Elephas maximus indicus: one gene and its partners. The protein of the gene in region 1 purifies or fractionates together with the protein of each later gene. This does not show direct contact. Links are inferred from orthologs where the notes say so. Each region holds a gene or a part of one and is shown in the gene's direction. Other genes may lie near its edges. The genes, in order: YAF2, MAX, MGA and TFDP1.

Region 1 (6,897 bases):
GTGACATATAACTTTTATACCGAGCAAAATCAGTAAAGGTATCTTCATTTTGCAAAAACAAAATAAACCAAAACACCAAAGAAACAGACAAAAACCAAATTAACCTTTTAAAATGTGATTGGTTTTACAATTGTAGTTTATTGTTGTTATATTTCATTTTGAGTTCTTCTCTCAGGGAAGAATTGTATCTTATTCCTCTCTTAGTCACACTAATTTCCTTTCAAATTCCAGTTGATAAATGAGACAGTGCTCACCATATCAAGTATTAGCCCTTGTTGTCTAATAGGTGTATAAAACTTTAATGCATGGTGTTTATTGTTGTTGTGTTTGTTTCATGGGCATAAACTTGGGTCTAATTAGAACAGGCTGGGGCCCACGGGACCACGCAGTTAGTCTCTCAATGTATGTAAGACAGGGGCACTCAGTCTTTTTTATATCTCAACAGCAAACAGATTACTGTTCAGCTGCACGCATGATCTCACGTACAGTTTCAGTAATTTCTCCAGTCTTTCCCACTCTAGGAAGCATATTAAAATGGAAATGAATATATCAGTTACCTTGGAGTTAACTTAATTTTTTAATGGTAAATTATTATAATACTTTACCACTTTTAAATTGTTAAAACAATTGCCAGTTTGTGTCATTTTACAAGTGACCCCAATGAATTACGTTTGCGGACTGAACTCTGCAAATGTATTGAAAAGGCACCTAAATGGTTAAGAACCTGGATCACTCTAGTGACAAGGATCTTCCTCTTCTGCAGTCACTCTTTTCAAACCGTAAGAAAAACACTTCAGGAAAAAAGATTGGACTCTTGTGGTAAAGAAGGAGGAGGTGCTTCTTCACGTAAGTTTAGTAAAGGCAGGATCTTTCTAAGAGAAAAAAAAAAGCACCCAATAAATGGTCAGCAACTGGTATAGTGCAAGGGCATGTGCTTCATAGAAACTGGGTTCAATCTCTGATTCCTCTACAAGGATTACTTTGCAGAGTTGTAAAGTTCAGTGTGCAGGGCTGTAAACTTCAGCATTTATAGACCATCTACTGCATGCCAATATGCGTAATGGGCTGTCAATCTCAGTGTGAAAAAACACCTCATCCATGAACTGTGGCATGGATGAATTTATTCCTTCTCAAAATATTTATTAAGTGTCCATTATGTGTCAGACTGTTCTAGTGACTGGAGGTGCAGCGATGAATACCACGAATACAAATTCCTGCCCTTCTTGCACTTGTGCTTTGGAAGTGAAGCTTACTTTCTAGTGGTGGAATTTATTTTCTAGTGAAATGGTGATTTACACCACTGACAACTTTTTTTAGAGTTCTTGATTTGATTTTCTTTTGATTGAAAAATACAGTGTTGCCATCACTTTTGCAAACAGACCAGTTCTTGTCATTCTCTTTGATGATGCATCCAGTTGAGGAATATAAAAAACATCACAATGCCTTAGAGTTGGAAGGGACCTTAGTTGTGACAATAGTTTTAACTCTTTATTTTACTGATGAAAAAAACCCAAGTGGCTTAATTAAGTTTACCCATGGCATTACTGAGAGACTGAGACTAGGCTTTAGATCTCCTTCTCTTGTATGCTTTCCTCAGTCAAAATCCCCATGGTTTCTGAATCAGGATTTGAGTCAAAAAAAGTGACACTTGCAAAAAGTACGGATAGTGCTGAGTTCAGAGGCTGCTGCAAATTGGGGTGATTTGGTTAAGCAGAACACATGGCTTGGTAGAGGACTAATAGACATCTGAGCTCTAATCCTGGCCTATTCATTAAACAGAAGCCATTTAACCTAGGCCCTAACTTCCTTGTCTTTTAAATGAAGAGATTAAGACTAGAGAAGAACTAACATTTGCATAGTACTTTTGAGCCTTATAAAATACCCATTTGTATACAGAGATTTACAAAATGCCTGGCATATAGTGCTAAAAAATGTTGTATTATTACTAGTCACGCAGCAACCTTATATATATATATATAGATGCCATTTTGCAGACAAAAAAATTGAAAATTACAGAAATTTTTCAAGATCCATCAGTTAAAGATTAGGGGAAACAGGCTGGGAACTGGGACTTCTAACTGTACTATTTCCTTTGTAGCACATTAAGACCCTTTCAGCTATAAAACAGAAAGAATTCTTTAGGAACTCAGATCTGACGCGAACCTACAAAGATGGGCAGAAATAGTAGTCAGAGACAAGGGCAGATAACCCACTAAGCAAGCTTACTTTTACTTACTAATCTATAGTGAACAATTTCACGTGGGTGTCACCGTGTATTTGAATTGTTCACTACAGATTAGTAAGTAAGCAAAAGTAAGCCCATACTTACTTTTGCTTACTGGATTATCTGCTCTTGTCAGGGATTGCAAAATTGAAGACAGTCTTTGATCCTGTAGGAAGGTGCTGTGGGGTTGAGAGAAAGATGCCAGCCATACCAGAAGCAGAGTCTTTCATGTGGTGAAAACACGTGAATTGTTCACTACATATGATCTGGTAAGCAAGGTAAGCACTGCGCTTACCTTGATTATTGGATAATTGATCTCTAGTCAGACCAAACCGAAAAAAGAAACCCAGCACCGTCCAGTTGATTCTGACTCATAGGAAACCCCGGTGGCATGGTGGTTAAGTGCTACGGCTGCTAACCAAATGGTCGGCAGTTTGAATCCGCCAGGCGGTCCTTGGAAACTCTATGGGGCAGTTCTATTCTGTCCTATAGGGTCGTTATGAGCTATGAGTCTGGTCAGAAAGAAGGGGGAAATATTTCATGCAGTGCACGAAGGGTTTCGGCAAGCGGTTTCCTCTTTAATCCTCCTCAGGAGGCTGCGTTTCTGTTGGGGAGTAGAATGAGAGTTAGGGAAAACTTGTGTTAAGTCTTTGAATGCCAGCCTAAGGAGTCTGGTCGCCATTAGCTTATGAGCAGAGTGGTGGCATAATGTTAACAATGTTTATTATTAATCTGGCTGTGGTTTAGGATATATACTGGTGCGGTGGGATTGGAGCTTCAGAAAGCAGTTACATGGCTGTACCAGAGTGTAGAACAAGGTGATGAGGGCCTCCATTACGTTGAGACCAAGGGAAAAGTGTTCCTTTGTCAAAAAAAAAAAAAAAAACGGGTTTGCAAACTTGTTATTAAAAAAAACAAAGGTTTATGAGTATTCATTTTCTTTTAAAAGCTGCTACTGCAGAGTCCTGGAAAGCCAAGAGGGCTAGTTTGGATTTAAACCAGGCTCAGGCTCTTTTTTTCAGGCTCCTAGATTTGCACTTTCTAATATGTAACCTACAGGAAGTCACCTAATCTCTCTTGAGCCTCAGTTTCATTTTCTCTAAATTGAGGGTGACAACGCCTATACAGTAGAGCATTTGTGTGGATTTAGGCAGACAGTGTTTGACACCTAGCAATGGCGCTCAATGTCGGTTCCCGCCTCCCCCCAGGTATCCTTCGGGCGGGTGTTGAGTAGACATGGACGGCTGAGGCCAGGAAAGCGGTTCTACCTGCAGACTCCCGCAGGTCCCTTCTGTCCCGCGATGGGTTACCTCCGAACGCTGGCCTCACTTCGAACCAGGCTTCGCGTGGGATGACGGAGCATCCCCAGTCCTCCTGCAGGCCACACGCTTCCTAGCAGGAGCTCCGAAGCGTGCGACACTCGGGGACGCAGAATGGAAGCGCGGGAAAGAGCGCGGAGCTGCGGCGGCTGCGGCGGCGCCCGAGGCTGCAGCGGCTGCCAGCGAACTGGCCGCGGGTGCTGGGCCGCGCTAGCCGTGTTTGAAGTCTCCGGCGCGGCCGCTGGTTGGCAGGCGCGGGTCACGTGCGCCCAGGCAGGAGTTTCCCCGACAGCTGGAGGCTGCGTGGGATCCGGCGGCTGCTCCGAGCTCCGCGGTGCGGCCTTCCCCGCCCCCTCCCTCCTCCCTCCCCCGCCTGCTTCCGCCGGGCTTATTATCCTTCTTATTGACAAACAGAGCAGCCGCGGCGGCGACTCTTGGCGTGCGTTTGTAGCCAAGCCATGGGAGACAAGAAGAGCCCCACCAGGTAAGAGCGCCCGGCACCGGGGTCCCGACTGTGCGAGCGGCGGGGCCCTCGCGCTGGGTTTCGGGCGGCCGCCTCACTCGCCGCCCGGGCACCGGGGCGAGAACGGGGGCGGCGCCGCTGCTGCGCGAGCGCTGCCGTGTGAGGGGCCAGCGCCGGCCACCCCACAATGGAGGCGCGATGGCGGCGGTGGCCACAGGGGCAGCCCCCAGTGGTAGAGCGTCGGCGGCGGCTACTGCGGCGGCTCTCGCGCCCTTCTCCTCCCTGACTCCCCTCCCCCTCCGAGCCAGAGCGCAGCGCGCCGGGGGCCGGTGAGGCGGGGGTCGCGGAATTGGGGCGGGGCGGGGATGGCCGCGGGGCCCGGGCGCGGCCTGCTGGTGACCCTGCGCCGCGTCGTGTCTGGGTTGTGTCCTGCAGGCCGAAGCGGCAGCCGAAGCCGTCCTCGGATGAGGGTTACTGGGACTGTAGCGTCTGCACCTTCCGGAACAGCGCCGAGGCCTTCAAGTGCATGATGTGCGATGTGCGGAAGGGCACCTCCACACGGTGAGTCCCGGGCCTGCCCCGCGCGCCGCCGGGTGCCCGGGTGGCGGCGCAGAGGACGCCCCTGCGGCGGCCGCCCCTTCCCGTGACACTTGCAGACCCAAACGGTAGGAGAGGTGAGACTGAGGTGGTGGCCGCGATAGCAGCTGGGTCAGATTGATCGCGACCTAGGCGATGGTTTGTGGTGAGGGGTAATTGAAGAGGCTGTAGCGTTTTTTGCTGCCAGGAGAGGATAAATTATTTAAGAGAGGCATTAGCTACTGCGATTTAATTCGTATTGCTGAGTGTAATGGAGCCCCCCCCCCCCCCCGCCCCGGATATAATAATCTTGGCTGCATTTTTGTATTAGTGTGTGGGGATCAAGGAAAGCCCATGAAATCCACTTTGGAAGCAAAGGATGTAATCTAATTGCATTCCTCAAAAAAGAAAAAAGTATCTGTAGAATACACGGTAGCTTAAACTTCATTTTGAAATATGGAAGGGTCTTGTTTAGTATTCTTATGGAAATTCTCCAATATTTTATAAATAAATAGTTGGAGGTAAGCCCACTCAATAGGACACATTTTTTTACTGAAAGTATTTGAATAGCTTTAGCTTGATTAAGTGGCAATCTGTTAGACTATACAAATGAGATAAAATGATCCCTGCCTATTTTCAGTTTTAACTTTATGTTATTGTACGCTTAAAGTATAATAGTTCTGTCTCTTAAAAAACCACTTAAGTCAATTAAGTGGCTAACGAAAATCATCCAGGAAATTCGAAGTCAATGACGTTTTTGATCTCCCAGCACTTAGGGAGTTGCTTTGCCTTTTTATAGGAGGGTAGCCTTTGAATTAAGTTGTTAGAATCCTCTGATTTATAGCTTAATATTTATATAGTTTATGTAATATGGTCTTACAAAGTCTGTTAGAAATGAAATTATTAAAAGTATAAGAACATTATTAATATCTTACAATGTGGTCTCTTGTTAAAAAAAAAAAAAGAGCCTAAATATCGGTAATGTTAGATTTAAATATTCAGTTGGTATTAGATTTCTGAAAATGAGATATCCTGATTTTTAAACCCCATTTATGGGATTTCATTAAAAAAATGTTAATATAGAGGTAGAAGTGGTTGACACTAATTTAAAATTTTAACATTTCCTTAGTGAAACCAGATGCTTTTGAAGTCTTTTGGTAAATCATAAGATGTTTTTTGTATATTAATTCCCACTCGTATTAGATAAAATGTATTGAACATTTTCATATTCTTTAAAAAACAAGTTTTTGAACATCTACTATATTCAAGGGAATAAAACAGCAGAACATTATAAAAAGAAAAAAGTACCTGTATGTGTAAATGAATCTGATCGTAAACTGTTTTTGGACCCGTGATTTAAGTATTTTGAAAAGCAGAATATCCTTTTATCTTGATATCTTTATTGCCTTGGATTTGGTTTAGGCTATATTTGTATATTTTATATTAGTACTTTATACTTTTTAAAATGCTCAATAAACAAGTTCTAGAAAATTTGTTTTTTTGGAGACAGGCGCTTTAAAGTGGAGACAATTATTATAATCTTAATCTCTGGTACTATGTTGTTGCTTTTTGTTGTTCCCTCTATTTTCTTGTAGCCAATAGAAAAATACTGAAATTAGAAGAGCCTATATGTTTATTTGCAGGGACAGCAAGGAAGGGGGGAAGCTGGTGTCCTACTCCACAGCCAGTCTTGGGGTTAGAGGAACCCTGAGAAATAGAGTAGGTGGTGACAGCTCAGAAGAGAAGAAACAGGCCGCATACCTGGCACCTGGAAGAAGAAGGAATATAGTGCACAGGGGAGTTGGCCCAGGACAGAGAAGTGGGCCTAGTTTAAAAGAGGCTTGAGGCCCATGTGGGGGCCCCTGACATTTTTTACCAGTACTTCTGAGCTCTTGTAGATCCAATTTTTAGTGGTGGAATCATTACTTGAGGAGGACTCAGAGAAGCATTGTCATTTGGATTGAAACTGAAGAGGCTCTGGGCAACTCACCAGAAGTCTAAGGGACACTCTGTTCCTAAAAGTAAGTGTTCTACACTAAGACCCTCTCAGCTTCTTCCTTCCTCTCTCTGAATTGTCTCTTCTCTTTTGATTTTGGCCATAAATTAAACGTAAGAGCTCTAATTTCTCTGTTAATCTGTTGTTTTCCTATCACTGTTTCTGAAATTCAGAGTGGAATCCATGTTTGGAAAGAACAATAGAACAGGGCATTGTTAATAGGGCAGATATTGATGGCATCACAAAATAGTTTGCTCTTTGGTAATATTAGAAAAACAGAATGAAAAGACTGTAGAACACTACTAAGAAGCAAAAGTTG
Region 2 (7,110 bases), on another chromosome or scaffold:
AATTTTGTTCTACATTTTTCTCCCACTCTATCCAGGATGTAGAGTTTTCAACGGCTGATTTTTTGAAAATAGATCACTAGGCCTTTCTTTCAAGGCACCTCTGGGTGTACTTGAACATTCAACCTTTCAGTTAGCAGCCAAATGCATTAACCATTTATATCACTCAGGGACTCCTTAAAGTAGCAAGGGGCTAGAGAAATTGGGCTGCTCAGTGACAAGGCCCAGTCTTGATAAGTTCACATAGGGCTTTACCAAAGAAATGCAAGTGTACAAAGATGAAAATGAATTAAAGTCCTAAATTACTATTCACATCAGGAAAGCACTAAAAAAGAAAACTAGAGGAAATTTCTGTTCTAATATGCTTAGTTCTCTTTCCTGCCTATGTGCCTTGGCCATGAAAGTCCTTTTATTTAGGTCATTTAAAAGTATTTCTTAATTTCCAAACTTAGGAAGGTTTTCTAGTTATCCTTGTATTATTTCTAGTTTAATTACATTAGGTCTGAGAACATCCTCTCTAAGATCACAGTCCTTTGAAATTTGTTTATGGCTTAGAACATGCTCAATTTTTGTAAATGTTCCACGACTGCTTGAAAAGAATGTATTCTACAATGATGGGTGCAGTCTTTTATGTCTATTAGGTCAAATTTATTAACCAGGTTGACAGGTCTCCATATTCTATCAAGTACTAAAAACAGATGTGTTAAAATCTCCAGTCTTTCTACCCGGAAGGCCTTTCCTCCTTACCTCTGCTTACTTGCTCAGGTCTCCATTCCACAATCAGAGAATCAATGATGAGCACAGTCTGCTCTGGTCCCTGCAGACTGGTCCTCGTCCTCGAGAGCCTAAGAAGACTTCCCTGATCATCAACACCTCCCTAACACCATTTCAGACCTAGGAAAATTTCTCCCTCCTCTCCTTTCTTACAGCATTCACTGCCTTTTCTACTAATTCAACATTTACATAATCTGTCTTCATTATAATTGTTTGTGTTCATAATTTGCCAGGTTTTAAATTCAGGGAGGGTAAAGGCTACCTTATTTCTTTTATAACAGCTTTTGTTGTTGTTTGGTGCCGTCAAGTTGGTTCCAACTCATAGCAACCCTATGTACAACAAAATGAAACACTGTCCGGTTCTGTGCCATCCTCATGACTGCTGTTATGCTTGAGCTCATTGTTGCAGCCACTGTGTCACTCCATTTCATTGAAGAGTCTTCCTCTTTTTTGCTAACCCTCTACTTTACCAAGCATGATGTCCTCCTGCAGGGACTAGTCCCTCCTGATAACCTGTCCAAAGTACGTGAGATGTAGTCTCACCATCCTTGCTTCTAAGGAGCATTCTGGCTGTACTTCCTCTAAAACAGATTTATTCCTTCTTTTGGCAGTCCAGGGAACCCTGATGACATAGTGGTTAAGTGCTACTGCTGCTAACTAAAGGTCCGACAGTTTGAATCCAGCAGACGTTCCTTGGAAACTCTATGGGGCAGTTCTTCTCTGTCCTATAGGGTCGCTATGAGTCGGAATTGACTCGACAGCCACAAGTTTGGTTTTGTGTTTTTTTTTTTTGGTTGGGCAGTCTATGGAATATTCAACATTCTTTGCCAATGCCATAACTCAAAGGCATCAATTCTTCTCCAGACTTCCTTATTCCTTATTCCAGCTTTTGCGTGCATATGAGGCAATTGAAAATACCATGACTTGGGTCAGGTGCACCTTAGTCCTTAAAGTGACATCTTTGCTTTTCAACACTTTAAATAGGTCTTCTGCAACAGATTTGCTCGTTGCAATGCATCGTTTTATTTCTTGACTGCTACTTCCATGGGCGTTGATTGTGGATCCAAGTAAAATGAAATTCTTGACAACTTCAATCTTTTCTCCATTTATTATGATGTTGCTTATTGGTCCAGTTGTGAGGATTTTTGTCTTCTTTATGTTGAGGTACATACTGAAGACTGTGGCCTTTGATCTTCATCAGTAGGTACTTCAAGTCTTCTTCACTTTCAGCAAACAAGGTTTGTGTCATCTGCATAATGCAGGTTGTTAGTGAGTCTTCCTCTGATCCTCATGACCCGTTCTTCCTCATATAGTCCCACTTCTTGGATAATTTGCTCAGCATACAGATTGAATAGGTATGGTGAAAGGATACAACCCTAACGCACACCTTTCCTGACTTTAAACCACACATTATCCCCTTGTTCTGTTCTAACAACCACCTCTTGACAGCTTTATTGAGATATCATTTACGCACCATAAAACTCACCCTTTTAAGGTACATAATTCAGTGGAAAGCTGTCTCATTTATCTTGGCATGCACTATACAAATGATTCTCAATCTTGGATGCATATTGGAATCACCTAAAGAGTTTAAACAATACTGTTGCCTGGCTCTAACCCCAAAAGATCTGAACTTAATTGTTTGGGGGTGTGGTCTGGGCATTGAGGTTTTTCAAACCTCCCAAAGTGATTTTAACTTATGGCCAGGGTTGAGAACTACTGCCCTATAGCATTTTGTGCATAGCAGGCACCCAATGATAATTTGTTAAAATCATCAATTAGCCCTAGCTTCCAATATCAAGTTAATTAACTCACCGAAGAGCTACCATCCAGATCTAATACCCCATCAACTCATCACATAATGGTTTGCTACATGTGTCCGTCCCACTTAGGTCGTTTGAAAGGGAGACTCACAAACTCATTTAGAAAAGAGGTTTCCTTGTGAAGACATGCAGACTTCAGTTGAACAGGATCACTGAATAAGACACAAAACAGGTATTAAAGGAAAAAATGTAAAGGAAAGATTTACCGCGTTTACATTTGTCTCTTGCAGCATAAATGACATGCTCACATGGGGAGATACTGTCACAAAGATGGTGACATATCCCCAGATTTCTGCATTCAAAAGTCAGAGATAAAATGGTTTTCATTAGGGCATCAGTAATTTATGGAGAAACCTCAAGATTTCATTCGAGACCACATGTAAAAGTACTTCTGCCACTTTGTTTATCTCAGGGTGTCTTTGTTATTGTTTTGCTTTTTTCTTCTTGTGGGACTTGTATACTCTTCGAATGACAGCAGAGCAGTCTCATTTTTGCTTCCACAGCTGTGAGCGGCTCCAAGACAGGGACCGTTCAGGTCTTGTACATTAGCGCATTCTCGTGCTGGCACATGTTAGGTGTTCAATAAATATTGGTAGAATGAATGTGATCACATCTCTTCTCACAATATTTACATATGATTTAAACTGTGTAGGGGGCTGCAACCAGTTTCCCGTTTTGATCCTTTTTGCGATTCTTAATTATGACACTCTGAACTGGGGCACTCCGTAAACTGCCTGGGCTACAACAAACTCCAAAGGGGCTTTTACTTCCACGAAATCGGTTGTTGAAGGTAAGAAAGGGATCTGTGAAAGCAAAGCCGCACACTGAGTAGCAAGGTTGGTCACTCCGGGATGAATGAATACAAGATTCTCGCGCCTGGGAGCAGTCCCATAGAAAGGCGATTCTTGTAACACCACTTAACACCTGCCATTGACACCTTCTTCTCAGAACCTAATCCCGCAGGTCTGCATGGGCTTTCCGAGCCGCGCCCCCTAATTCGCAGCCACAGGACTCCCTCGCGGGCAAGTTACGCCCCAGGTCGCAAAGCGGGACAATTCGGGAATCAAGAAGACAAAGTAAAACTAGGTGCAAGAAGGAGAAGCAGCTTATTTAGGCAGCCAGCTACTCCCTCAGAACCTCCACCCTGTCCCCTGGGCCCGGCGCTCATACGGTGCCGGACTCCAAAAGCCCAAGCTCTCTCCACGTGTCCTCTCTTCCCAGAAGCCTCCTCTGCTGCCTCGGGAGGAAAACCTCCTGACAACTCGCGGTCTGTGGACTACGACTCCCAGAAGGCACCGCGCCGCTTCTCTCTCCGCCCCCCCCCCCACGGGACACGCAGGCGCTTTGGGCTTCGTCAACAAGCCGGGCTGGCGTCTCCTGGATGAAGTTCCTGATGGGATTTGTAGTTTTTCTGGCGCCAGCTGGGCGGTCGGTCAAAGGAATGGGAACTACAAGTCTCGGCGGCCTAAGCGTGACGAGTCGTCACGTGGCAGGGGGCCGACCGGGCGTGCGTGCCGCCGTTGATCCGGTGCTGCAGTGAGGAGGTGGTTCTCGCCCGTGTTGTGTGTGTGAGAGAGCGAGTGAGTGAGTGAGTGAGTGAGTGAGTGAGTGTGTGTGTGTGTGTGTGGGGGGGGACTCGGCTTGTTGTTGTCGGTGACTTCCCCCTCCCCTTCACCCCTCCCCCTTCCCCGCCGCCGCTGCAGTGGCCGCTCCCTGGGCCGTAGGAAATGAGCGATAACGATGACATCGAGGTGGAGAGCGACGTGAGTCCCGGGGCTTCTTCTTCCCGTGCGGGTTGTCAGGCGGGGACAGCGGCTGGGACTCTCAGCGGGGCGCCGGCGGGAGGGGGCCGGGCTGCCGCCGCCTCATTTCCCTTCTCTCCGGGACTTGGACCGCTTTAGTCGCCCTCCCGGCTCGCTTCCTTCCCAGCTCCTAAGCGGAGGGGCCTCCAGGGACTGGAAGTGGGGAGGAGACACGCGGCCTATGGGACCCCCACCTCCCCTGAGGAGGAGGGTGCTGCGGCCGCCCGCTCCTACCCTATTCCGCTCAGGATCCAGGGGACAGGGGTGGGGTGCGCTCGGGATCCCATTGTCCGGATCCTGGGAAAGGGGACGGTGCTCAGAACCTGTTCTCTCGGTCTGCGATCACTTTTTCCTGTGACCTGCGGATCCTGGGGGTGAGGGAGGGCAGAGAGGGATTGAGAGTGTCCAGAAGCCCCGAGCTGGGTGCAAGGGGGAAGAGACAGTGCTCGGGACCCCCTCCTACCCCGGTCGGATCCGGAAGGAGAGGCGGCGCTCAGGACCCCCCTGCCCCGCTGCCGGATCCCGCTGAGGGGTTGGAGCGTGGGGTGGGAAGGGAGGGAGGGGGTCGGACTGACTCCCTACCCGCCGCTTCCTCCGCCGCCGGCATTTTCTAATTATTGAATATGAAGTGTAAAAATAACTTTTATATTTTCTATTTTTTTTTTTCTCTTATTTCAGGAAGAGCAACCGAGGTTTCAATCTGCGGTACGTCTCCTACTCTCCATTTCATTTTCATTTCCGTTCAGTTCTAGTACATTTGGGGGTCAGAGAAAAAAAGAGATCGTTCTATTTTAACATTGTAGTAAATCTGTTAACCGCTAAGGTGAGGTGGGGCCTTGTTCTGGGATTCCAGGTATTGGGGGAAGGTTGCAATTCTCATAATTCCAGACTCTCGGGTGATAGGTTCCAGTGACTGTGAATGGGATGAGCTGTATGTGAAGAAAGGAATCGTTCCAGTAGTTTTCAGATGGGGAATCTAGCCACCACACTCTAAAGCAGGAAATGAGAAATACAGCGTTCTGAAGTAGACTGTAGCATAATTTCAGGGCAGTGTCCTCAGAAGATGTAGAACAAGGAGGTTCCAAACAATATCTGCATATTAGTCGTGAGTGAAGCTGAAGCACATGCAATCACCTTTAACCAAAAGTCATGTGACTGCTGTAGACCTAGAATCTGGCATGTGATACTGTAGTGCAGAAATTGGAAATGTAGAGGAGCCAGAGGTTGAATATGAAAGTGTCACATGCAGCTTATTGTGGTCTGACTTTTTATATTTGAGTTGAAGGAGAAGTATAAAAAATAGGAAAATTGTTGGAAGATGTGGCATTGGCAGACAGGTTTGCTAAGAGATGAGGACTCCATACACTGTATGGACTCCATACAGTGTTATCAGTAATTTATCAGGGTTATTAGTATTTTTAGTAGATGATTCTGTGGATTTAGGTGTACACTAATCTCATGTCTTTGGAGACAGAGCCAGTACTGTGAGTGTTCTGTGAATAATAGATTAGAGGGGAAGAAGGAATAGACAAAAAACAAATCAGAGAAGTGAAGGGAGAAGTATATCAGAGTATCTAATATATGACAGTGGGAAAGAAGGGTATAGAATAGGGATCAACAATTCAAATGTCTGTGGGGGCCAGGCAGCGAGATAGTTAGGAATACAGCAGTGGGAAGAAGTGAGGACTGGGGTACTGGGGAGCACACACCTCTTCTAAAAAGGCAGCCACTACTCAACTCCAGTGAGTTGTTACTATGTAGGGGTGAGGGTTCAGTGCTGACAGGTTCCCTATTTTTTTTAAGAAAGATTTGGAACCCGGATTTTTATGTTATTCTGATTTTTAAAAGAATGTGTGGAATATTCAAGCTGTTTAGTGGCTGGTTAGAGTGTGCATGATGCCACTTTGATACTTCTGGTATACGAATTTAATTACCACAGGATAAAAGCAGGCACTCTTGTACCTGCTCTTTATTAGAGCGAGCAAAGATTGTGCAAGTGGCCCAAGCAGATGCACAGTAAGAAAAGTGTTGCTTTTAAGAACTGATACTTCCATTAAACTGCAGGATACAGTTGTCCCAGGAGTCCTAAAAATTGTCCTGGAAAATAGTCGCTAAGAAGATTTTTTTTTTTTTGCCTTAGGTCTTTGAAGTATTACCACATACCTGTATTTGTACATATATTTGAAAATTGAATTCCTTATTTGGTTATTATTATCTCTAATAATTTAGAGTCTGTTTACATTAACTGATGTATCATGTTCACGGCCCAGTCTATTTGAAACATTTTTTCCTCCAAGTTTCCATTTTTAAGATCTGCCCCAGGGCCTGGTCAGGACTGGCGGGTAGGGATTGACTAGAGCTCTCATAGGCTTCCTTTGCAGACTTACCCATTCAATTGGAATTATTTTGACTCTCCATTGAGAGAAAAGCTTTCTTTGTGAGGTTTTGGCTCACGGTTCTTGAAAGTGTTCTGCTTTTCAAAATATTGAAAAGTTGATGTAAATTGGTTTATTAGATTATTAAAATGCCTCTACTCTCTTAGAATGCCAATCTCATTGTTTTCCCTAGATGTTTTTAGTTTGGTGTTAAGGTGCCTAGGATTTTTCCCTTAGATTTTGGGGGTTAGGGAAGGCGTGTGGGTTTGACCCTTTGTTTTTATTTTGACATATATACTTGTTAAGACTTTTAAGATAATCACAACAGCGTGGAGAAGA
Region 3 (7,451 bases), on another chromosome or scaffold:
AATTCCAAGATCGGCAGGCAAGAAGGCAGATAAGCTGCTACCTAAAGTCCCATAAACCTTCAGACGAACACGAGCCGGCTGCAGGATCCAGAACAGGCAAAAGGTCACGAACCTTGCTAGAATGTCCACTTCTATTCGATGTAGGCCACATGCCCATGGAAGCTCCCTTTCGACTGACCGGCTACTCACAACAGATCCCATCGTGGAGGTGATCGTATTACATTAAATCTCACCATGGAAGTGATTATATCATGTAACTGCCAAACCACTGAGAATCATGGCCCAACTAAGTTGACACACAACCTTAACCATCAAAGCAATTGAATGTGTTTTGTGTCCTCAGGGTTCTCAAACAATTATACTATCAAGTTAACATGATTGTATCTTCAGTATGAGGATTAATTTATCTAAGGTGTTGGAATAACAAGCTCTGGTGGCACAATGTTTAAACACTTTGCTGCTAACCAAAATATTGTCAATTCAAATCCACCAGTGGCTCTGCAGGAGAAAAGACCTGGGATCTGCTTCCTTAAGGATTGTTGTTATTAGGTGCCGTCCAGTTGGTTCCAACTCATAGCTACCCTATGTACAACAGAATGAAACACTGCCTGCTCCTTCACCATCCACACAATTGTTGTTATGCTTCAGCCCATTGTAGCAGCCACTGTGTTAATCCATCTTGTTGATGGTCTTCCTCCTTTTTGCTGACCCTTTATTTTACCAAGCATGATGTACTTCTCCAGGGACTGGTTCCTCCTGATAACATGTCCAAAGTATGTGAGACAAAGTCTTGCCATCCTTGCTTTTTTTTTTTTTACTTTCATTGTGCTTTCAGTGAAAGTTTACAAGTCAATCTCTCATACAAAAATTTATACACACCTCGCTATGTACTCCTAGCTGCTCTTCCCCTAATGAGACAGCACACGCTTCCTCTCCACCTGGTATTCCAGTGTCCATTCAGCCAGCTTCTGTCCCCCTCTGCCTTCGCATCTCCCCTCCAGACAGGAGCTGCCCACTTAGTCTCATGTGTCTACTTGAGCCAAGCAGCTTACTCCTCACCAGTATCATTTTCTATCTTATAGTCCAGTCCAATCCCTGTCTGAAGAGTTTGTTTTGGGAATGGTAACAGTCTTGGGCTAACAGAACGTCTGAGGACCATGACTTCCGGGGTCCTTTTAGTGTCAGTTTTAGACCATTAAATCTGCTCTTTTTACGAGAATTTGAGGTCTGTATCCGATTGCTCTCCTGCTCCATCTGGGATTCTCTGTTGTGTTTCCTGTCAGGGCAGTCATCAGTTGTAGCCAGACACCATCTAGTTCTTCTGGTCTCAGGCTGATGTAATCTCTGATTTGTGTGGCCCCTTCTGTCTCTTGGGCCCATAATTACCTTGTCTTTGGTGTTCTTCATTCTCCTTTGTTCCACGTTTGAGTTGAGACCAATTGATACACCTTAGATTTGCCACCCTTGCTTTTAATGAGCATTCTTGCTGTACTTCTTCCAAGACAGATTTATTCTTTCTTCTGGTAGTCCATAGTATATTCAATATTATTCACCAAAACCATAATTCAAAGGCCTCAATTCTTCCTCAGTCTTCTTTATTCATTGTCCAGCTTTCACATGCATATGAGGCAACTGAAAACACCATGGCTTGGGTCAGGTGCATCTTAGTCCTTAAAATGACATCTTTGCTTTTTAATACTTTAAAGAGGTCTTTTGCAGAGGATTTGCCCAACGCAGTGTGTCCTTTGATTTCCTGACTGCTGCTTCCATGGGCATTGATTGTGGATCCAAGTAAATATTACAGCCTGGGAAACCATATGGGGCAGTTCTACTCTGTCACATATGGTTGCAATGAGTTGGAATCGACTTGACTGCACACAACAAGGTGTTGGAACAGTAGCAAACATGCCTGTTTTTTTTAAAGAAGCCCAAATCTGTTTTTAAATAGCTAAATCCTTCCATTTGTTAGAATGGTAATATCGTCGATTGTAATATTTACTCATATTGCCTCTCCAACTGGTATACGTTATACACATTTTTGTGAAAATAAAGAGGTACGTGCTGGAACAAAAGTTCTATCTGGTACATAGAAGTAGAGATACAAAATTATTCCATTTATCTACAAACTTTAACTTATCCAAATCAAACATTTGGTTAGGAACTGAGTCGGGAGGAAAGAACCCAAGTTTCTTCATAGATTAATATTCTTCTCATGGGGTACTAGTGCTAGAGGCAAAGGTTAGGCAAAGGACAGGAGGGTACCATTTTCTGTGTTTAAAATAAAAGAACTCCAAATCCACGGGTGTTATAAACTATGTATACGACATTTTCAAAGAAACACTGCCTTGTGTACTTACTGGGCTTTTGGGTCTTCTAGAGTCCCATAAAATTAACAAGACAGCGAACGTGGTTAATATGAATTAGGCCCTAGCATCCCTCCAGGATGTACTACCATCAGTGGAATTTTAGAACCTTAAGCCCAAGGTGCTGTTCCTCCTTGAGATGCCCTGCCCAAACTAAAACCTCCCTTTATTAGAAGTGAAGGCTGAAGCTAGGAGAGGAAGGGGAGGAAGGGGACTGGGAAGAAAGCATCTGAAACATTCTGATGTGTAAGTGAAGGGAAGAGTGAGTTTCGAGGGCCTGTTTGCTCTGAGGTAGTTAAATATAAACCATTTTTTAACATTCATGAAGTGGAGGCACACATGCCTCCTCCTCCCTTCATCTCCTCCACCCTCTAAGCATTATTGTTTTACTGCAATGTCTTTGGTTCGGCATTTTGATATGTTTAGGGAAACCAAAAAACAACAACTTGAAATGAAGGACGAAGATAGTGTAATATGTCCCAACAGATGGGCAATAGTCACCATGGAGTCTATAAAAGATCTGCAGTGGAAGGATCTGTCAGTGGGCCTCTAGCACTGTCTAGGGGAGAAACAGAATAGTGGAGAAAAAAAGGATTCAAGAGTGTGCATATCGGACAGAGTACAGGATGCTGGTTCAAATACAACCTTTGCCACTAACTCCTAACCATATTTATGGAGTATCTCCTATTCATAAGGAACCGTTCCAGGTCTTTTAAATATTTTTATCTCAGAATCATCATGACAGTCTGAAGACTAGGTATGATTGGCTCCAATTTTCAGCTAAAGTAACCAAGGACCAAAAAGTTAAAAAAAAAAACAAAAAACGTGTCCGATGTTATAGTACAGTGACAGAACTGCAAGTTGACACGAGGTGCGTCTGACTTCAAGGCCAAGACTCTTTTCACGATAGCCAATAGATCCCTAACCTAGTTGTGTGGAAGAGTTGCCTGGAGAACATGTTGAAATACATTTTCCAGGTGCCCAGTCAAGACTAACACAGAAAATGGTAATACTAGTATAGTTCTTTTCTCAGAGTTGTCACAGTTAAATGTAATAAAGTATATAGAAGTATTTTGTAAACTTTAAGCTTAACATAGATATACTTGTAATTAGTGATTTTTTTTACACTCGATCATCTTCCTTTCTTTTGATTTTCTAGTTAAGAACCAATTTTCTGATAATTAGACTTACCGAGTACCTTTAAACTAGAAAACGGTGCCCCGTTGGTGACACTATATATTTTGGCTTGGTTATAAATTAATACATTTAATTTCTAGTCTATAAATGAGAGCTCTTCGGAGTCTGACCTAGTGCTAGCCGAATCTCCCAAATTGGATCATTCCTTTGTGAACTGATAAAATAGTTTGGAATTAGCAAAACTGAGGAACGGAGTTCAAAGAAGAGGGTATGAACTGGTAAGTGGGGGCTTCATGGGAAACAGAACATTAGGTTTTTAGTTTGTTAATACAAGTTACAAAATTAACTTCGTTTGACGTAAGCCCATCTTTTCTCAGCAGTAGCAGCTGATGTTTTTCTCGGTTCCAACATATACCTGGTACTAGGTAGAACCAGAAACTGTAACCTGGCCCCTTTAAATTGCCCCCGTCTCCTTCCCCTCCCCCCTTTCCCCAACTGTAACAATACGTTTACCTAGAAAGGTCTGGTCTGCTATCTCGAGAGATATTCTAGGCATTATTTTCACTCCCAATGGGACTTGTAATAAGTTGTATTTAAATTAGCATTCCTTTCCACTGACAATGAAGAACTGATATCTTAGTTGTAGGCAAATACTCTTGCCGGTTTTTTTGCCATATTCACAGGGGCACTCAACATGCACTTACTAAATGCTTGCCCCTTGAACCGAGGTTTGGCGATTTCCCCAAGACCACGCAGACTGAACAAGTGGGAGAGGGAGGCTGAAAGTGCCTGTTATATCCAGTCACACCCATAATTATCCAAGCCGCCTCGTTCGGAGCCCAAAGACCAGGCTTTCAAAGGGACATGAAAGGAACGACGACGGGGTGAGGGCCAAGAAATCGGGAGAGGTGCCTTTCCCAGCATGCTCTGCAGCGCTCTGAGGGGCGCCAGACGTTTCCCGGCGTGCTTCGGGGTGCGCCCAAGGGCGATGGTTCCCGGCTCCTGGACGGGTACGCGAAGTTGGACCGGTAGGTGTGAGCTTCCTTAGTTTTGAGACCCTGTTTTTTCGTTTCCCCTTTATGGATGTAACTCCAGAAAGGAGTACAGGTGGTCCTGTAACTACCCTACTTTCCCGCGTGCAAACGACTTTCGGAGCCGCTTCGAGCACGGTGCCAGGTGATCAGCGGTTAGGGGCGGGCCTGAGGTTTGCACGTGACCAAACCTGGCCGCCAATGACTAGCCCGGCGGTCCGGCCGCGCGAGGGTTCCCGGACCCGTGAGCGGAGCGGCGCGTGGGACGGCTACGGTCCGCCCCGGCAGGTATGCGCAGGCGCCTTGGTTGCCACGCGCTCCGTCTTTTCCCACGCGCCGGGGCTGTGTCCTTGGCGCGAGGTGTTAAGAGTCTGTGTGGGTGTTTTTGTGGGTAGGGGGAGGGAGGGGGACATAGCGTCACGTGGACACCACAAGCCAATCTCAGACCGAGGCGCGTCCACGGTTTCCCCAGCGCCCCGGGGTGCGACGTGTTCAGGGAGGTTCGGCTCAGCCGTGACGACCCGAGTGCGGTTTTCGAAGCGCGTGTGCGGCCTGTACAATCTGGCCGCGGGTTTTCGCGGGGTCCTGCTCCGGTGTGAGCACTGACGACACGTTCCCGGCAAAATGGCTGCTGGAAAGAGTCGCCTAGCAGGGGGAGCGGTGGGGCCGCGTGAAGGTCACATGACGGGGTTGGCAGCGCGTGCTGCTGGCGCGGGGAAGGGGGAGGGTGGGAGGGAAAAGGCCCGGAGAGTCACGTGCTTTCTGCGTCTCCTGTGGTTTTCAAACGGCTTTGCTGTGGCCTGAGGGTCCGTTCCGACTCCTCCCTCTCGAGGCATGGCAAGCCTCCGGGGAGAAGCTGTCCGGTGTTTCGGAATGAGCTGTGGCCTGGGCCTTAGGAGACCTGGGTTCAAGGTGTTTGGGGAGTATTGCGATTAGCAAGTCCTGTTGCCACTCTCGATCTCCATTTTCACTTTTATATTTTACCTCTGTGGAGGAGATTATTTTAAGGCCCTTTCACATCATAATGTGGTGGGTGTATGATTTATACACAATTTCAATTTTATACATGTAACAAAAAATCAAGTTATTAATTATTATGAGACAAGACTGCACCCTTCTCACCCCAAAGAGAAAAACCCACAAGCATCCACTGGCGTCGCTGCCGCCCCCCGCCCCCCCATTGTTTACATTGATGTGGGTCACATGGTGGATGTAATTTGTTATAATAACCTGGCTATGCCTGTTCACCTTTATCAGTAACATTTATAATCTGGGCCTGTTCACTACTTCATTTGAAAAAATCCTGCCTTTTAGACGTACAGTCCCTATGTTTCCTGGAAAGAAATTAAAGAGTAAATGTTATTAGCATAACTGTGGAGATGAGAAAACAGCTGATTAGTAGGGACTTGCTTATTCCCCATAAGGGCTGACTGGAAGGGCCTAAAGTCTTCTACACTTGGTCGGCCAATCTTTGTGAAGTTTTTGAGGCTTCACGTACCAGCCTGTGGTGTTTCTCCTGGTTCTCTCCTCCCAGCTCCAGCTCTTCATTTTATCAGTATTCAAGCCCTGGTGAAATGTAGCAGGCATAAATTAGGTATTTTCCGTGTCAGTGCTTATGTTTTATGGTACCTTTTAATTCACCTTCTAATTTTGTGGGAGCAGAATCTGGGAAACATATATTGAGCAATGACCATAATAGCTATTAACAATTCTAGTAAGAGTTAACACTTTCCAGCGTAGTGTTCTAAGTATTTTACATTTGTTAATTCATTTAGTTCTCATAACAAACCTATGAGGTAAGTACTATTATCTCCGTTTTAATGAAGGAAATAGCCACACAGAGATTAAGTAATATGTAGAAGACCACGTGGCTGGTGATTTTACATAATTCCAACTAGATTTCCTTTTGAAAATTCAACAAAATGATTCTAAAGTTCACTTGGAAGAATCAGCCTGTAAAGTAGGAAAAACTTAAAAGTGGTAGGCGGTTTGTACTAGTGAATATGCAAATAAAGATACGATAATCAAAACTGTAAGTAATCCTGCTATAGACAGAGCAGTGGAACAGAATGATAAATCTACAAATACATAGATAGCTGTTAGTATTGGGTTTTGTTAGTATCATTGAGCCTTGGTGGCACAGTGGTTAAGGGCTCAGCTGCTAACCAAAAGGTTGGCGGTTGGAATCTACCAGCTGCTCCTTGGAAAGCCTTGTGGGGCCCTTCTTCTCTGTCCTATAGGGTCACTATGAGTCGGAATCCATTCAATGGCAACGGGTTTGGCTTTGGTTATTGGTATTACAGAAACCCTGGTTAAGTGCTCCGAAAGGTCACAGGTTTGAACCAGCAAGTCACTGTGTGGGAGAAAGATGTGGCAGTCTGCTTCTCTAAGGATGACAGCCTTGGAAACCCTATGAGGCAGTTCTACTCTGTCCTGTAGAGTCGCTATGAGTCAATTGACTCAATGACGATGGATTTGGTTTTGTTAGTATTATAAAGGTGACATTTCAAATCGGTGAGGAAAGGATTCCAAAATTATGTTGGAACAATTGGCCAACCATTTGGTAAAAATAAAATGAGACTCCTTCTTGAAAATTTAAACAAAATTAAATGCTTTAGGTGGGTTAAATACTTAAATATAAAATATGAAATTATAAAGTTACTACTTTAAAAAGTGGATGAAGTTTTCCACTCTTAAAATAGGATGAGCAGTTCTAAGAGATATGACTGCAAATAAAGGCACAGGTAAAAGAAAAATCGATAGTGTAACATAATACAGCTTCTAGTTGGCAGAAACACTGTAAAGCTAAAAAACTTACTCATTCAGTATTATGTAACATATTAGTTGAGTGCCTACTAAGTGCCAGACAGTATTTCATGTGTAGGGGATCTAATGATGAGCAAAACCAGGCAAATTGTGA
Region 4 (7,077 bases), on another chromosome or scaffold:
ATCTGTAAGATAAGTGGACAGGTAGTAGACAAATGGTCAAAGTTATTAAATTGCACATAAAGTCAAATTTCTTAAAATTATGCTGAAAGCTCCTGGTGCTGGGTTCACTGTTGGCTGATGATGGTAAATGAGTTCTATCGAGGAAGGAAATGATGTAAAGAGAACATGGATCTTTAAACCTTAAACTGTAGAACTCCATAGAAGAAACTAATCTTGATATCATCCTAGTCAGAGCAATGTCAAGTTACGAAGAAGGAATGCTTTAGAAGAGCTGTGGAATTAAATGCCAAAGGAATTAAAGGACTTTCATGTATTGCAAAAGCCAGAGGAAAGTTCAGATGCAAAGCGAATGGAAAGCGTCTAGGTTGTAGATAAAACTGGTAAGATAAATTTGGATAAATCAAATTTGTATATGTTAGATGCTATGATCCTGGAGAATTTGTCCGTGACAATTTTCCAAGGACTGTGGCTTCAGGCTGTCAATCGCTGTAAAAGTCTTTAAGACACAAGAATTATTAAGAGCATAATCACGTGATAGGGTCAAGGACTGATAGACTAAAACTTTCAAGAAGGAGTTCTTTGGATTTTACTGGGAATTTTAAAAAGGGGAAATGAGGTAGCAAAGATTGCGAGAAAAATAAAAATGTCTTCATATGTTAGGTGACGGGGTGGTGCTTAGAAGTGATGATCTGGTTGGGGAGAAGGGCTAGGGGATTTACCTTGAAGTTCAGCAAACACACTGATTCATCATATTTTATGAGGCATCTAAACAACCACAGATGCTTTTATTTATATTTTACCAAAGAATGAGAAAATGTCACCTGTCCTTCCTCATAAGCTCCATGAACTCCTGCCCCCTTCCCTGTCTTCCCTCAGTATCACTATTGCTCTGGTGATCCAAGAAGGATGAAAAACTGAGGAAACGGCTGAAGAAAAGACCAACATGATTTAATATGGAAACCAAAGATAAATTTTGTATTTAGCAAGCAAATTTAGAATTAAAACATTTCAAAGGATTGGAACATGTTCTTTCTCTTTAAAGGGCAGTTTAATGGTGTGGGAAGGAGAGAAGGATTTGCATCAGGTCCTAAGATTCAACAGGGTAGAGATCTCTCAGACACGAAAGTGTGAGATTTTGGGAGATGAGGATTTTACCTGGAAAGAACCAAATGACTTTCTTTTAACAAAACACAGAACAGAACTGTTTCCATGTAGTATTCTGGTTCATAATGACAAATCTTATACATACAAAACAATATCTGGCCCCAGTAATATAGGGCTGAACACCAACTACTGTGTTATGCATCAAGTCAATACTGAATGAAGGCATCATAGAAAGAATTAAGTTTACTAAACAATGTGAAGTAGTAGATAAATACAGGGCATTACAGGCTTATTAGAGTAGATAAACCCAGGGTTTTATGGGCTTATTGCACCTGGGTGGTGCACCTGGTTAACATGCTCTGCTGCTAACTGAAAGGTTGGAAGTTCGAGTCCACCCAGAGATGCCTCGAAAGAAAGGCCTGGCGATCTACTTCTGAAAAATCAGCCATTTGAAAACCCTACGGAGCACAGTTCTGCTCTAGCACACACAGGGTTGACATGAGTTGGAGTTGACTCAACTGCAACTTTTTTTTTTTTTTTGGTGGTGGGGGAGCTTTAATAAAAAGATTGCATTTCAGCAATTTGATCCAAAGTTTTCAAGCCAAGGCAGTGGCTAAAAAAATTTGGATTTTCAATGCAAAATTTTAGAGTTCTGTTACCATTTGTTAACACAGAAATAGGAGCTTTCTGTGGGGTAAAGAACTTTTTGCCCTTTCCCCAAACAAACCAGAGCCCCAATGAGCTTTCAGCAAGTAGGTACCCCCTGCAAGTTCAGAATATTTCCCTACAGTGATTTTTGTGCAGAAATCAATTCGAGTAATATTAGAGGTGGGATCCCTGGGTGGTACAAAAGGTTAACTGTGCTCGACTTCTAACAGAAAGGTTGAAAGTTCTAGTTCACCCAGAGGCATCTTGGAAGAAAGGCTTGACAGTCAGTTCCAAAAAATAACCCAGTGAAAATCCTATGGGAGCCCTGGTGGCACAGTGGTTAAGAGCCCGGCTGCTAACCAAGAGGTTAGCAGTTGGAATCCAGCAACTGCTCTTTGGAAACCCTATGGGGCAGTTCTACTCTGTCCTATAGGGTCTCTATGGGTCAGAATTGACTCAGTGGCAGCGGATTTGGGTTTTTTTTTCGGTTTTGAAAACCCTGTGGAGCATAGTTCTACTCTGACACACATGGGGTCGTCACGTGCTGGAATTGACTCCATGGCAACTACCACCACCATCCTCTGTAAACATTGTTGAATTACCTGAATCACGAATTTGTAGGGAAGGGGTTTCAGATCCCATACTATGAGTTTCATTTTTTCCTTCTTAATTCCAACTCCCTAGGTCTCCCGGGGAGGTTTCCTGGTGCGGTGGCTACAGCTACACTTGGGTCCAAGAGGTTGGGAAAGGGGACTTACCACTGCTAACTAAGCTGGAATATTCAAATTTAGTAAAAAATATTTTTTTTGTGAAAGTCAAGAAATGGAGCTAGGAAAATATGACTATTTGTAGGATATAATGGAGGAATATCGGTTCTGAAATCATGGGAACCTGGTAATGGGTGAAGAGTTGTATGAATCTTAACAGCAAAGAATAAGGTCTTTCTCCAGATAGTAATTTGTAGGACTTTCCCTCTTAGTAAGGGCCCCAGGTGGTGCAGTAGCTAAAAGGGCTCAGCTGCTACTGAAAGGTGGGCAGTTAAAATCCACCAGCTCCACTCCACCGGAGGGGGATGTGGCAGTCCGCTTCTGGGAAGATTTACAGCCTTCAAAACTCTATCGGGCAGTTCTAATCTGTCCAGTATGGTGAGTCAGAATGGACTCAACGGCAATGGGTTTTTGGTTTTCCCTCTTAGAGTCTTTTATTCAACTTCTCCTTCAATGTTTCTTTAAATACTCATTGTGTGCTCATCTGTAAGCAGAATATGAAGATTCCGTTATTAGCTTGTCTTCAAAGAAGAAAAAAAAAAACAAAACACCCTTGTCGTCGAGTCGATTTCGACTCATAGCGACCCTATAGGACAGAGTAGAACTGCCCCTTTACAAGGGAGCAACTGGTGGATTCAAACTACTGACCTTTTTTCCAAGCCTTGGGTCTTAACCACTGCACCACCAGGAGAATCCAATGTTAATTAAATTGCTAACAGTTTAAGTGAAAAGAGATTTAAGGGGTCAGTGCATTACTAGAAAAGCAGAAGTGGATGTAATCAGCATAAAAGTGGCTAAATTGTGAAACCATGCTAAGTGCGGGTGTAATGTAATAGTAGTAATGTAATAATAATATGTTGCACATACAGAGGGCCTTTGGTCTGTGCACCTCAAAGTACTTTGCAAACGTTAATTATGCATCGCACTAGGAGGCAGAGAGGGAGGGCCTGGTAGGGCTTGGGCATTGCTGCCTAATCCAGCACTGAACTTTGGACTCCAGACTCTAGATGCGCCCGCCAGTCAACCCTCTGATGCGTTTCTACAGCCGTCTGTGGTTGAATCCACCCACTGCTTTAGCAGTGGTGGGATCGAGGTTGTGATTAAATCTCCAGGAATAAGGGTCCAGCACGCCAAACTAGTGATGAGGCCGCTCCTGCAGTCAGATCAAACTGGGCTGCCCAGTTTTCCCTCCTGAACTCACTTCCGGGATACCTCCCCAGCTGGCACCGAGGATGCACGGAATTGCTTGGAATTTGGGTGAAGGTTGGGCGTGGGCGTGGAGAGGCGCGGTGGCTGAGCCGGGTGTCTGCCGGCTCCTCGCTGGGCCAGACGTGCCGTCCTCAGCCGGGAGCGCACGCCGGGGTAGGCAGCAGCTTCCGCGCCGCGCGCCCGCCTGCCCGCCAGCGGCCACACACGCTCGCCGCGGGCCTCCCTCTCTCCCTCCCTCCTCCGCACACACACACTGAGCCCCTCTCCCGGCGCCAGGCGGGGGCGGAGCAGAACTGGCGGGAGGAGGCAAGGAGGGAGGGAGGGAGCCAAAGGCGCGAAAACGGCGCGCAGGCGCGCCGCGCTCCCCGAGGCGGAGCGCGCGGGGGTGAAACTGACACTTTGGGCCAGTCTCTATGGGGCCGCTCGTGGCCGCACGTCACCGCGCTGCCGGCACGTCACGCCGGCTCGACGCTCCCGGTACAAAGTGTAAGTTTCAATTTTTTTCCCGGTGCCGCCGCTCCGGGGGCCACGGAGGAGCGGGAGCGGAGTGGGGACGCAGGGCTGTCTGGCCAGCGCGGCCGGGCCTTCCCATCCCCGCCATCCTCGCGTGAGTGCGGGGCTGGGGCGGCGGGGCCCTGAGCCTCGGCGCCCAGCATCTCCGCCCCCAGCCCCGCGCGCGGGCGCGGACCGGGCGAGCCAGGTGCGGGGCGCCGGCCACCCTGGCGCTGCAGGCGGCGGGCGGGTGCGCGCGGGCCGAGGGCGGCCGGGGCTGCGGGAGGGGGAGAGGATGCCCTGGGGCGGGAACCCCGGGAGGATGGAGATGGGGGAGGGCGCGGAGCCACCGGCGCCGCGGGAGGATGGAGCTGGGGGATGGGGCCCAGGGCAGGGCGAGCAGCTGGTCCTGGAGGGAGGGGGCACCGGGCGGTGCGCGGGCCCCTGGCCCGAGAGGCGGCTCTGGGGCGGGCCGGGGTCGGGGCCGGCCACGGGGCGCGGGGGGCGGGCCAACGGCGGCGAGGGGGCAGCCCGGGGCGGACTGGTCCCCGGCGGTCCGGCCCCTCGGCCCTGCCCCCGCCTCGCCTGCGTGTGGGCGCCGCGCGCACTGCTCGGTGTCTCCTTGGGGCTCTTTCCTGGTGTGCTCTGTGTGCGCTGCACATGTGCAGTCGGTAAACCTTCCCCCACCCCGCACCCCCCACGCCGCCGCCGCGCCTCATTGTAGCCGCTGCAGTTGGTGGGCTGCGGGGCTGGCCGCCGCCGTTCGGTGGGTGGGGGGGGTGGGCGGCCGGGGGAGGAAGGCGCTCTCCAGGTGACTTGACCTCGGCTGTAGGATGTGGGATGGGGGGTTGGCGCGGGTGGGGAGCAGGACGCGATTGGGCGGGAGTGGGCCCGACCGAGGAGGGCGGGCAGTGGGGCTCTTGCGGGACTCTGCTAGCTGTCTGGGCGGGCGAGGTGGGGGCTCGGGACGGGTGCAGGGGGGTCCCCGGGTGGGGGCAGGCGGGGCGGCAGGGCCGGAGCTAGGCCCTCCAGGCCCCGGATAAGCATCGTCGCGCGCCCCTCGGCCACCCGGGGGCGCGGGGCAACGGGGAGGGGGTCGGTGGGCGCCTGTTGCCGGGCGGTGCACCCGGCGGTGGCGGGCGGCAGGGCTGCACAGCTGCCGCCGGCTCCGTCCCGGGCCCGAGCGCGCCGCCCGCGCTCCCGGCCCCGGCGGCCGGATCCGCTCCGGCCTGCAGCGAGCGCCTTCGGGAGGGAACGGGGAGGGGCTGACCCTTCCACCGACCTGGTCCTTTAGGGAGCTCCGAGCCGAGGACTGCCGGTTCCGGTGGCGGGCGGGGGAAGGGAGATTCCTCTCGGTGGAGGTGGCTCCTGAGGCCTAGTGACAGGTCAGAGAAAGCCCGGACCCGGACGGGCTGGGGGCGTGGGGGTTGGGATGGGGGACTGAGAGCAGTTCCCTGGACCCTGGGACTGCTTGGGGTGACTCTGGAAGCCCACCTGTCAGAGTTACCAGTCTACCCTCTGGCTTGGGTCAGCGAGCTGGAAACTGACCAGGGTGGGGGAAGTCCCTCTAAGAGTTCTTTTGGGATGGCTTTCCCTGCGCGCCGGTATGTCTGTGCTAGGACAGAAGGGAGAGTTATACTCCTGTTAGATGGATGTGTGGGGTCGTGCATGTATGTGTGTGCCTGGGTGGGTCACTGTGGGGGTGGTATATTGATCCCGTAGAGATGTGAATGAGCCGAATGGGACCATTCGTGTAGTTATGCCATGGATTATGCTTTAGAAACAGAAAGGTAGCACAGGCAGATATGTAAAGGGGATTATCTTTGGGTGATTTGGGGAGAAAGTTGGGGTGTTGTAGCAATGATTTTAGGTCATGGAGTTCCTATGTCTTGGTTGTTTATGGGCTTGTTTGCCAATTTAAAATATATTTTCACCTGCTGCAATGAATTTTAAAATCCTAAGTATAGGAGTTGTTTTTGCCAGTTCCACTTTTGAGTAAGTGTGTACATTTGGGAAGGAAGGTTCTTGTTACCTGGAAGGCCAGTTGGGGTGGTGGTGGGGGGGGGTGGGGAACGTTTCTCTTAAGATGTGACATATTATTAACTTTCTTTATTCTTACTCATTTTTTCTTTTCCCTTCTTTTCAGAAAAATCATTGTTTCTTCTCTGGAGGGTGAACGTTTATAAAATTGACTTCACGGATCTGGTAACATGGCAAAAGATGTAAGTGTATTAGCTTCGTGTTACAAACCTTTCCTTAGCTTTTAATAGCGAGAAATTACGAAGCACTGAATTCTTTGCAGTTTTCTCACTTTATTTCGGAATGACAACACATAAACCATAGTACTGTTTATTTTTTTAAGCTTCTAAAGCACATGAAACAGGATGAAAGTGAAAAAAGATCAAAGAATCTAATAGCCTCCATGGAGATGTGTGACTTGCTCTTTCTACGTTGTGTTTTTTGTAACCTTGGATGCCTGTTGATAAATGCTTATGGTGTTTAAATGGTACCAATTTTACTTAATCTTTTCGGGCCTTTAAAATTTATGATTTTGAATAGCTTTGTTAAAAGCCATTCCATAATTAAAAGAGATTGTGAATGCACCATTCAGAGCGTGTGGTGGGGCTCAGCAGTTGCTGGATCTGGACCCGTTTTCTGATGCCCAGCAGAGAAGGGCCCCATCTACTGAGGACCACCTTCCACACAGGAGGTCTGGAGATTACTTGCTTTCTTAGTTATCTAGTGCTGCTATAATAGAAATAACCACAAGTGTGTGGCTTTAACAAACAGAAACTTATTTTTCTCACGGCTTAGGAGGCTAGAAGTCCGAATTCAGAGTACTGGCTCTAGGGAAAGA

Evidence for each region.
Region 2: the proteins of YAF2 (region 1) and MAX purify together in Homo sapiens (affinity purification with mass spectrometry; 3 studies listed by BioGRID and IntAct, with this or other methods). This does not show direct contact. The link is inferred for Elephas maximus indicus from reciprocal best matches to the Homo sapiens genes YAF2 and MAX.
Region 3: the proteins of YAF2 (region 1) and MGA purify together in Homo sapiens (affinity purification with mass spectrometry; 5 studies listed by BioGRID and IntAct, counting the BioPlex papers as one, with this or other methods). This does not show direct contact. The link is inferred for Elephas maximus indicus from reciprocal best matches to the Homo sapiens genes YAF2 and MGA.
Region 4: the proteins of YAF2 (region 1) and TFDP1 purify together in Homo sapiens (affinity purification with mass spectrometry; 3 studies listed by BioGRID and IntAct, counting the BioPlex papers as one, with this or other methods). This does not show direct contact. The link is inferred for Elephas maximus indicus from reciprocal best matches to the Homo sapiens genes YAF2 and TFDP1.

What each region holds. Positions count from the first base shown.
Region 1 is NC_064822.1:96,843,949-96,850,845, reverse strand, and holds the start of YAF2 (YY1-associated factor 2), read left to right. Parts: upstream 1-3,877; 5' UTR 3,878-4,001; coding exon 4,002-4,027; intron 4,028-4,441; coding exon 4,442-4,567; intron 4,568-6,225; coding exon of another isoform or gene 6,226-6,427; exon of another isoform or gene 6,428-6,897. UniProt on the Homo sapiens protein: Binds to MYC and inhibits MYC-mediated transactivation. Also binds to MYCN and enhances MYCN-dependent transcriptional activation. Increases calpain 2-mediated proteolysis of YY1 in vitro.
Region 2 is NC_064828.1:77,419,768-77,426,877, reverse strand, and holds the start of MAX (protein max), read left to right. Parts: upstream 1-4,092; 5' UTR 4,093-4,321; coding exon 4,322-4,357; intron 4,358-5,074; coding exon 5,075-5,101; intron 5,102-7,110. UniProt on the Homo sapiens protein: Transcription regulator. Forms a sequence-specific DNA-binding protein complex with MYC or MAD which recognizes the core sequence 5'-CAC[GA]TG-3'. The MYC:MAX complex is a transcriptional activator, whereas the MAD:MAX complex is a repressor.
Region 3 is NC_064828.1:14,456,156-14,463,606, reverse strand, and holds the start of MGA (MAX gene-associated protein), read left to right. Parts: upstream 1-4,434; 5' UTR 4,435-4,528; intron 4,529-4,575; exon of another isoform or gene 4,576-4,819; intron 4,820-7,451. UniProt on the Homo sapiens protein: Functions as a dual-specificity transcription factor, regulating the expression of both MAX-network and T-box family target genes. Functions as a repressor or an activator.
Region 4 is NC_064835.1:74,596,675-74,603,751, forward strand, and holds the start of TFDP1 (transcription factor Dp-1), read left to right. Parts: upstream 1-4,074; 5' UTR 4,075-4,214; intron 4,215-6,366; 5' UTR 6,367-6,430; coding exon 6,431-6,442; intron 6,443-7,077. UniProt on the Homo sapiens protein: Can stimulate E2F-dependent transcription.